2 linked regions of the Cricetulus griseus genome follow. The protein of the gene in region 1 interacts with the protein of each later gene in a biochemical or structural test. Links are inferred from orthologs where the notes say so. Each region holds a gene or a part of one and is shown in the gene's direction. Other genes may lie near its edges.

Region 1 (4,237 bases):
CTGCTGAAGCACCTCCCCTCAGACTATTTGTTATGAACTGCGGTGTTTTGAATACACAAAGCTTCCTGCTTGTCTAGAAATGTAATGGTTCAATTATAGAAAGCAGACAAAAATTTCCTACAATCATTTCTTAGAATATAGGCATCCAATTAATTTATCTTTGGATTGCATTCTACTAGAATGTTCGATCTTAAAACCTGTTTACATTGCTAAATTGAGTTTTATACTAATCATTAAATGAATAGGGACTTGGAATTAGGGCAGAATTTCTAACAGCTTCTGAAATGGTTCTAAACTTACTTCTGCCATCTTATACATTTTTTGTTTTGTTTTTTAAAGTCAGGGTCCCACTATATAGCTTTGACTGGCTTAGAACTCACTATGTAGACTAAGCTGGTCCCAAGCTCACAGAAATCCACCTGCCTCTGCTTCCCCAGTGCTGGGATTAAAGGTGTGGATCACCTTGCCTGCCTGGTGTGAAGCAGCATTCTCAGCTGATGATTATAAAATATCTGTCAACTTTGGAAAATTCTGAGGACACCCATGTCCTGAAATAGCAGATTTTCACCCAAAATTTAGTAATAATAATAATAATTTGGTAAAATAATTTAGTAAAAAATAAACCAGCATCTCATCATGTCAATTTGCTCTCATCTTTAATAAATGATAAAATTACATGTATACCGAAGAAGTGTTTTAAATCAATTTCTTTATGCGTTCTTATCAGCACATGTTTAGTTGGTTTGTCTAACTTATACACTTACATATCCAAGGTTGTGTAACAGTTTCTCAGGCTAAAAGGAGTTGCAAATGGAAAACGTTTAAAAAGTTTTATTGACTGGAAACAAAATGCTTTTCTGTAAAGAGGGGAGATGCAGCAGCCTTTTCTGAAATCATGACTTTTGAGGAACTGGCCAGCAAAGCTAGCCTCCCCGACACACACCCTGTTCCTGGGACCTCCACCAGGTGGTGTTGGCTACAGGAACTCCATTTTGAGATAAACTGTCAAAGAAGGAATGCCGCAGCCTGGCATTCCTGCCTCTTTCCGGTTTCTCTTGTGCTGGTCTGAATGAGGCGACTGGGGGTAATCAGAGGGCTGGTAATTGTGGCGATTATTTACCGTGTGCTCCAGGGCAGCTCCTGGGAGTGGGCAGATTTCCAACCCTGGCTTGACATGGGCTGGCCTCTCCTAGGCTCTAATTACCCATTCCAGTGGCAGTAATGGTACTGGGAACTGCAGCCTTCTCTGACTTCCTCCATTGTAATTAATTGCTTCGAATTCCAAAAGATTTGTCCGTTGCAAAGCTCATTTACTTTCAGGCGCTGCCGGATGTCCCGGCAGAGACTGATAGCTTGAAGACGCGGATGAAGTGGAACCGTGCAAGATTCCAATATAAACCTAGGAGCTGGGAGGGTGTGTGCCTGTCTGTGCAAGTCCCAGGAGGAGGCACAGGGCTGCAAGTGAGCTTGTTTGTGCTGACATTCCTTCATTTAACCTCAGGAGCTCTCTCTATCCCTACCTCAACTCTCTGGGAGCACCAAGTTGGAGCCCTCTAGAGCCAGGTGAAATGTGTTTTGTTTCAGCAGAAGTTCTTAATGGTTTGAGGTTTGGCACAGCAGTGCTTTTACGTTTCAACAAGTGTTAGGAATGGAAACTCAGAATAAAATACAATTGGAGTTTTGAAAAGCAATGGAATGACGGGGTGGAGGCTCCCCTCAGCCTTCTCTCCTACTTAAAGAAAAGCAAACATTGTTTTCCGAAGCCGTTCTTACATTCTCATTAATTTAACACAGGAAGCCTTCGGTGGGTGTGACATAAACAAGTTGGGCTCCTGGGTCGGGCTTCCTCATCAGTTTGCAGCTGGAGAGATGGCTGCGCCGCCCAAGCCCATACGGGCCTCTCTCGGGGATGACTTGTTGACTGAGCCCGGAGAAGGTGGGAGGGGCAGGCGAGCGGAGAAGGTATAAAGGAAATGCTTTAGCTGTGCAGTCACTGGCGATTGTAATTCAGGGGTGGTGAGTTTGGTTATTCCAGCAGAAGGAATCTGACTTGGAGTTTCTGGAAAGTTCCCTGACATCCCGCCTGGTAGGATAGTTGTGATTTTAGTTGGGGGCTCCCCCGCCCCAACAAGAAGCCAGGCTTCTGCTGATGGTGAAGCATAGTGGTCATGAAATGATGTTTGGAGGTGTGTAGCTTCTTTAGAGTATAGGAGCGCTGCGGCCAGGTTAGGGGTATCTGGGTGCCGGGGGAGTAGGGGAGTGTTTTTTTCCCAGTTCACCGCAGGAAGCTCCCGTGCACTAGATGTAAACAAAAGTGTCTGAAAGAGAAACCCCAAACTCCACGCAACCCTCGGGGCAGTTTCCTTTTCCCTGCAGAGAGGAGGGTGAAGGGGAAAGGACTCTGAAATGCCATGGAGTTTTGACAAGTGAGGAGTCAGACTAGGATTGCGTTACAGCCTTTTTATAACCCCCTCCGCCCGCCGAGCCAGGGAGAGGTCCTCCCCACACATTCGTAGCCCGCCGGGAGGAGCGTTGGCGACATCCTGCAGGAGCAAAGCCTCGAGACCACGGGGACAGCCCGGGGGACCTGGGGAAGGTAGCGTCCCCGCGAAGCCTGCCTCGCCCCTCCCTGCCCGGTGCCCGGGGCTGCCAGCAGGTGCTGGGGCTAATGACGGGTCTCTGGAGCTTGCTCAGCTGAGCCCCATCGGATTACACGGAGGCCAGCTGGCTGCCCCCAAGGTTCCTGGATCTGCTGAGGAAAGAGGTCTGAGAGAAAACTTCCAGAAGTGACTTGGAAACTGGAGGTAAGAATCTAACGGGGAGAAAGCCCAGGCCTTGCGATCTGATCCAGATTGAGGTGCACAGTGAGGCTGGATTCGTCAATGTGGGAATTTATCCACAGCCTCCCAGAATGAGTGGCCACCTGTCTGGATTGTGACTTTGTATTGGGGGTTTGCTTGCCTGGATGGTTTGTGTTCATTGGGAGGAGCGATTTGGAACTGGTTTGTCAATAACGACGATGTAAGGAGGGTGTGTGTGTGTGGTCAGTGTGGTGTGTGTGTTGCAGTTGAAACAGTCTAGGGGTCAGTCCTACTGTCCTTGGACCTTTCTCCTGGCTTTTGGTTAGCTTCTAATTACCTTTGGTAGAGCAAAGCTGTTCCCTCTCCCAGAGGGAACTGTGTGGATGTTTCCACACACAAGGCTGTCATCTTCTCTGGGGGACAGATCTTTGCCCCAAATTACTAAGCAGTGTGCTTGGACAATAGCCCTGTTCAATGATGTGCAGACTGTTGTGATTGGACTACCCAGAAGTTAAAAGATTTTTTTTTTGGGGGGGGGATCCTTGGAAAGAGGATAGCACTTTATTGCTGTTGTTTTGGGTATTTGTCTGCCTTTATTGAGACAGTGCCTCCCTCTGTATATAGCCCAGGCTGGCTTCAGACTAGTAGAGATTCCTGTACCAAAGCCTCTGATGCTGGATTATAGATAGTATAGTAGTGACTATTTATGGCTGAAGATGTCAGGTTTTTAATTGCGTAGTCCTGTTGAAGTACCCAGTTTAGAAGCACTAAGAGTGAAGTGACTTCGAGTGATGAGCAAAGGAGGGGGAAACTGTCATCTTCAGAGAGAAGGTTCTTTTTAAAAAGGTTTGTTTATGTCTTTTATGTATATGAGTGCTCTGTCTTTATGCACACTGGAAGAGGGAATCCGATCCCATCACAGGTGGTTGTGAACCACTATTTGGTTGCTTGGTATTGAACTAAAGCGCAACCAATGATCTTAACCACTGAGCCATCTCCCCAGCCCCAGAGAGACTGTTTCTAAGAATATAAACATTTTCTTTGCACAAAATGGATCAAGTTGAATATGATAGGGAACATAATTTATAAAATTCAGTGCTGTAACTGTTTATAATTCTAAACTCACGATGTAGGTGAATTGTAAAGTTAAGATGCAAGATTCTCAGATCTGCCGTCATACCTACACTGGCTCTCGGATCAGCTGTGGGACATTGGGGTGACATTCAGTAGAAGGGGGCTCTGTTGGGTTGTATAGAAATGAATTAGCCAGGTGGTGGTGATACATGCCTTTAATCACCATGCAGGAGACAGAGATCTCTGAGTTGAAGCCAGCCTAACCTATAGAGTAAGTTCCAGCACAGCCAGGGCTATACAGAAAACCCATCTTATGCTCCCCCAGCTCCCCACAAAAGTTCTTAGAAGAACCAGAGCCAAAG
Region 2 (4,112 bases), about 15 Mb from region 1:
ACCACAGTACAAAGCTAGGATGCTCAGAGTGGGGTCATAGAAAATGCTTTTGCATATGTGATTAACACTGGTCCCAGAGGGACAGGTAATACTGTTGTGAGGGTATGAAAATAACTTTTATTCATCCTTAACCTTTTACTAGGATGATGTGGAAAACTTTCTTAGTTTTCTAATGCTTTCTGTGTTAATGATCCTTGCTAGAGGAGACATGCACCTGGCAGAGCAGTCTTTGTGTTAAACCATTCACACTGCCAGTGATGGAGTGCTTGCCTGCTGTGCAAAGGGTCAGTCCTCAGCCCTGTTAAAATCCATACATGCACAAAAATATATATCATCACCACCATCATCATTACCACTACCGCCATCATCATCATAATTTCTCAGAGTTAAAGAGAATCAAGAAGCCCAAGTTCAAGGCACACCAGAGTCAGTGTCTGGTGAGGGCCTATGTCCTGGTTCATAGATAATACTTTTCACAATATTTTCATATGGTGGAAGAGGGAGGAGACCTTCTGGGCCATTTTATCATAGCATCAACACACTCATGAGAGCTTTTTACTAAATAGCCCAGTCAGTCACCAAAGGCCCACCACCTCATGCCATTAAACTTTGATTCTCTGTGAATTTGATCAGTATAATGGAACTAAAATAACTTTGTTGAGTCCTATTGTTTAGCCTGCACCAGTGTGTCCATTTTTCATTGGTGCTAATGTGAGTTGAGTTTCTGATTTCTTTCTTAAACTCAGACAAAAATCAACTGAACAAAAAGATCCCTGAAGGTTTTAAAGAGGTTTTGTCTGCTCTCTGCCAGGGTATGAACTTAACTATTTCTGTATTTCACAAGACCAACCAGCTTCTTTTTGGCATCCCTTTAGCTATGGATAATAATTTATATTGTGTTAGTTTTCCTATAAAGGGGGATGTGTAATGTATTATCTTGAAAACATACCAGTAGAAAAGAGTCATGCATTTGTGTAAATCAGATATCAACCTCTAGATAAACTAGATCCTTAGACTCAATGTTTTTATTCCTTTTTTCATCCTTAATATCTCTGTTCTACCTTATCATAATTTATTGTCCCACATGCAAGATAAAATACAACAGAGTTGTGCCCATGCTGTCTCAGATGTGGTTGGGGTTGATATAGAGTGACATTTTGTTTAACTTTACTCTTATCCTTGTTATGGAATTATACCATACTTGTTGGGACAGCTTGTAACTTTCATGCCCCCAACTGTATTCCCCATAGCTGTGTCTGTTTACGATTATGTCTGGCTGGTCTGAACTTGTCCTTTTGTGTTGCAGGAGCTATGCCTGTCCCAGACCAGCCTCCTTCAGCTTCAGAGAAGACCAGCTCCTTGAGTCCAGGCTTAAACACCTCCAATGGGGACGGCTCTGAGACAGAGACCACCTCTGCCATCCTTGCCTCCGTCAAAGAACAGGTAGAAGCATTTCATTTGTGTCTTATTAATGGGTGTATGTGAAAATTGCTTCTTTGGGTGAACATCGATGGTTACATTGTTTGAGAATAATATCATGTTAGTATTTATTAGATAAATAATACTAAAATATGGTTAAAATTGTTTTTGACTTCATGCTATTACTTAGACAGCTTTGTGATCTAGGCAGCTTTTCTTAAAAACATAGTCCAACATATTCCATATGGAGAAGAACACTTTCATGGAGTTGAATTTTTGGACTATATGTTAATATTTATTGTTATTGCTGGTTTCAGGTTCAAATAGTTGGTATACGGAAATGGTGTCTAATAAACTGTCAACAATTATATGCAAAGCTAAAATTTAAGACTATGTTGATAATAATTAAGCATCTCAGGAGGTGAAAGGAAAACACCCTTCCTGGTGTTTTTTTTTTTTATGGCTATTCATTTTTTTTGGCGGGGAAGTTTTTTTGGTGGATCACACTGTATATTAAAGATTGTGTGGAAATATAAATACTTGAGAGTTTAAGGAAAATCAGTAGAAATCATCATATAAAACATGTTAATTACAATACAGGAAAAATTCTACAACTTTCCCTGTCAAAGTCATCAAAATCTGATTGACTTCTCAGATATGACATCACTATAAAAATAGATTACTTTAAAAAAATTTAAGTTGAAGATTTAAAAAGTTCCACAAAAGCTATGTTTCTTGTAAATCAAGGATGGCAAATGATTACAGAAATTTGGATGGAGACTCATAGTTTTTTTTTTTGAGCATATTCTAGGGAATAAAGCAGGATTCTTCATTTAAAAAATGTAATTGACATGTAACTTTGGCATTTGTTTAGAAAATGCAGTATTATAACTTGAAACCTAACCTATATAATCTGTAGATGGGGTAATAAGCATTTCTACTAGTGAAATAAATTCAGGCTGCTTTCTTCTAGTTATTTTGAAGTAAACAGTAAATTTTTGCAGATTTTCATTGTGCTGTGATGCCGTAGAACATGAGACAGATTCTTCTGTTCGATTATATTTTGTTGCCCGGAGCTCTATCTCTCTGCTCCTTCACACCCTAGTTTCTTCAGGCCTCATTCAGCTTTCCATTGAGTTTGAGTTGTTTTATTCCATGATGCTGGTTTAGCAAAAGCATTGTGGGAAAGCCACAATGTGTGGGCATTGGCGGCACACGTCTTTAATCCCAGCACTCAGGAGGCAGAGGCAGGCGGATCGCCGTGAGTTCGAGGCCAGCCCGCTCTCCAGAGCGAGTGCCAGGATAGGCTCCAAAGCTACACAGAGAAACCATGTCTCGAAAAACCAAACCAAACCAAACCAAACAAAAAAAGCATTGTGGGAAAGTGACACAAGTAACAGCAGAAACATTGTGGCAGAGCACAGCTCAAAGGTGGGGCGACTATGAATATTCACTGCTCCATAAACAAAATGAAAGGTTGCAGAGGAAGCGGATAAGGTTTAGGAAAGGGGGCCGCTGAATGGATAAGTATAGGATGCCTCCTACATGTCAGTCTATCAGTGAGGCCAAAGGAGATGCCATTGGCAAGAAAGATCAATGATACTGTCAGATGTGCCCCTCCCCCAGCCCCACTTCAGGAACTATGCGGTTGAATAGGTCTACAGGGAGAGCTGAGTCGATTGATTTGATATAATAGAATGGGAAAATGTTAGGTAGGAGCTGTTCCATGAGTTTGCTAGTGAAAATCCCACTCTTGAGTTTTCTGATCATTCTAAGGAAGAGCAGGAGCAGGGGTTCATGCCAGTCCAGGAACTCAAGGTACTTCCTCACCATAGTTGAGCTAGCCTAGTGTCTTTGGATTTGATCTGGAAGTCTTTGTGAGACACCGACTTTAGTTGGGTGATAAAATATAAAATGCAAGGTGAAAATTTAAAAGAGCAAGATATGTCTAATGACAAATACAGTGTTTTATTGTGGGACTCAGTCGTGTAGCTTACAATGTATGAAAAGGCATGCCACTCAAGGTCCTGTGTAGAGAAATTTCAGGTTATCACCTCATTGCCATCTCTGAAAGGGATAAGTAAAGCTAAACAGTTGTGTAGTTGTCATTTTGAGATAGTCTCCTGTAACCCAGTCTGAGATTGAACTCATTATTTAACTAAAGAAATTGACTTTGAATTTCTGATTCCCCTGCCTCTGCTTTACAAGGGCTACAGTTACAAGTGTGTACAAACATGCTTGGTGTATGAGTTTCTGAGGATTCAATCCAGGGTTTCTTGAAGGCTACAGAAGCACTCTACTGAGTCACATACCCTGCCCAAGTTTAGGCAGTTGTAACCTGAGTCACCCGTCTGCCAGTGCCATCTACTCGTAGACCAACAGTAACTTTTAAGATCTTATGGATGTACGAGTATTTGAAGGTTCAAAGAAGGATAGAATCGTCTTCACCAAACATAGTTACCACAGCAGTATAAAGTGGATGGAACTAGAAAGACTTAATCTCTGTAGGACATAACGAAGGGCTTAGCATAGATTCAGATGTGAGCCTGGTCCTAATTCCTCTCCAGTTAGTATTTCAGTTTCTTAGAGAGGGACATTTAAATGATGCCTGTGTGAATCAACATCTTAAATAAAATTAAAGTTACTGCCTTGCAATATATAGAAAAACATGCCCAAGGGAATACTATAGCCAT

What was found. The genes of interacting proteins can lie anywhere in the genome.
Region 2: the proteins of Pdzd2 (region 1) and Ctnnd2 form a complex in vitro, tested with the Homo sapiens proteins (2 studies listed by BioGRID and IntAct, with this or other methods). The link is inferred for Cricetulus griseus from reciprocal best matches to the Homo sapiens genes PDZD2 and CTNND2.

What each region holds. Positions count from the first base shown.
Region 1 is NC_048595.1:345,575,761-345,579,997, reverse strand, and holds the start of Pdzd2 (PDZ domain-containing protein 2), read left to right. Parts: upstream 1-1,300; 5' UTR 1,301-2,804; intron 2,805-4,237.
Region 2 is NC_048595.1:360,552,651-360,556,762, forward strand, and holds the start of Ctnnd2 (catenin delta-2), read left to right. Parts: upstream 1-1,311; coding exon 1,312-1,443; intron 1,444-4,112. UniProt on the Homo sapiens protein: Has a critical role in neuronal development, particularly in the formation and/or maintenance of dendritic spines and synapses. Involved in the regulation of Wnt signaling.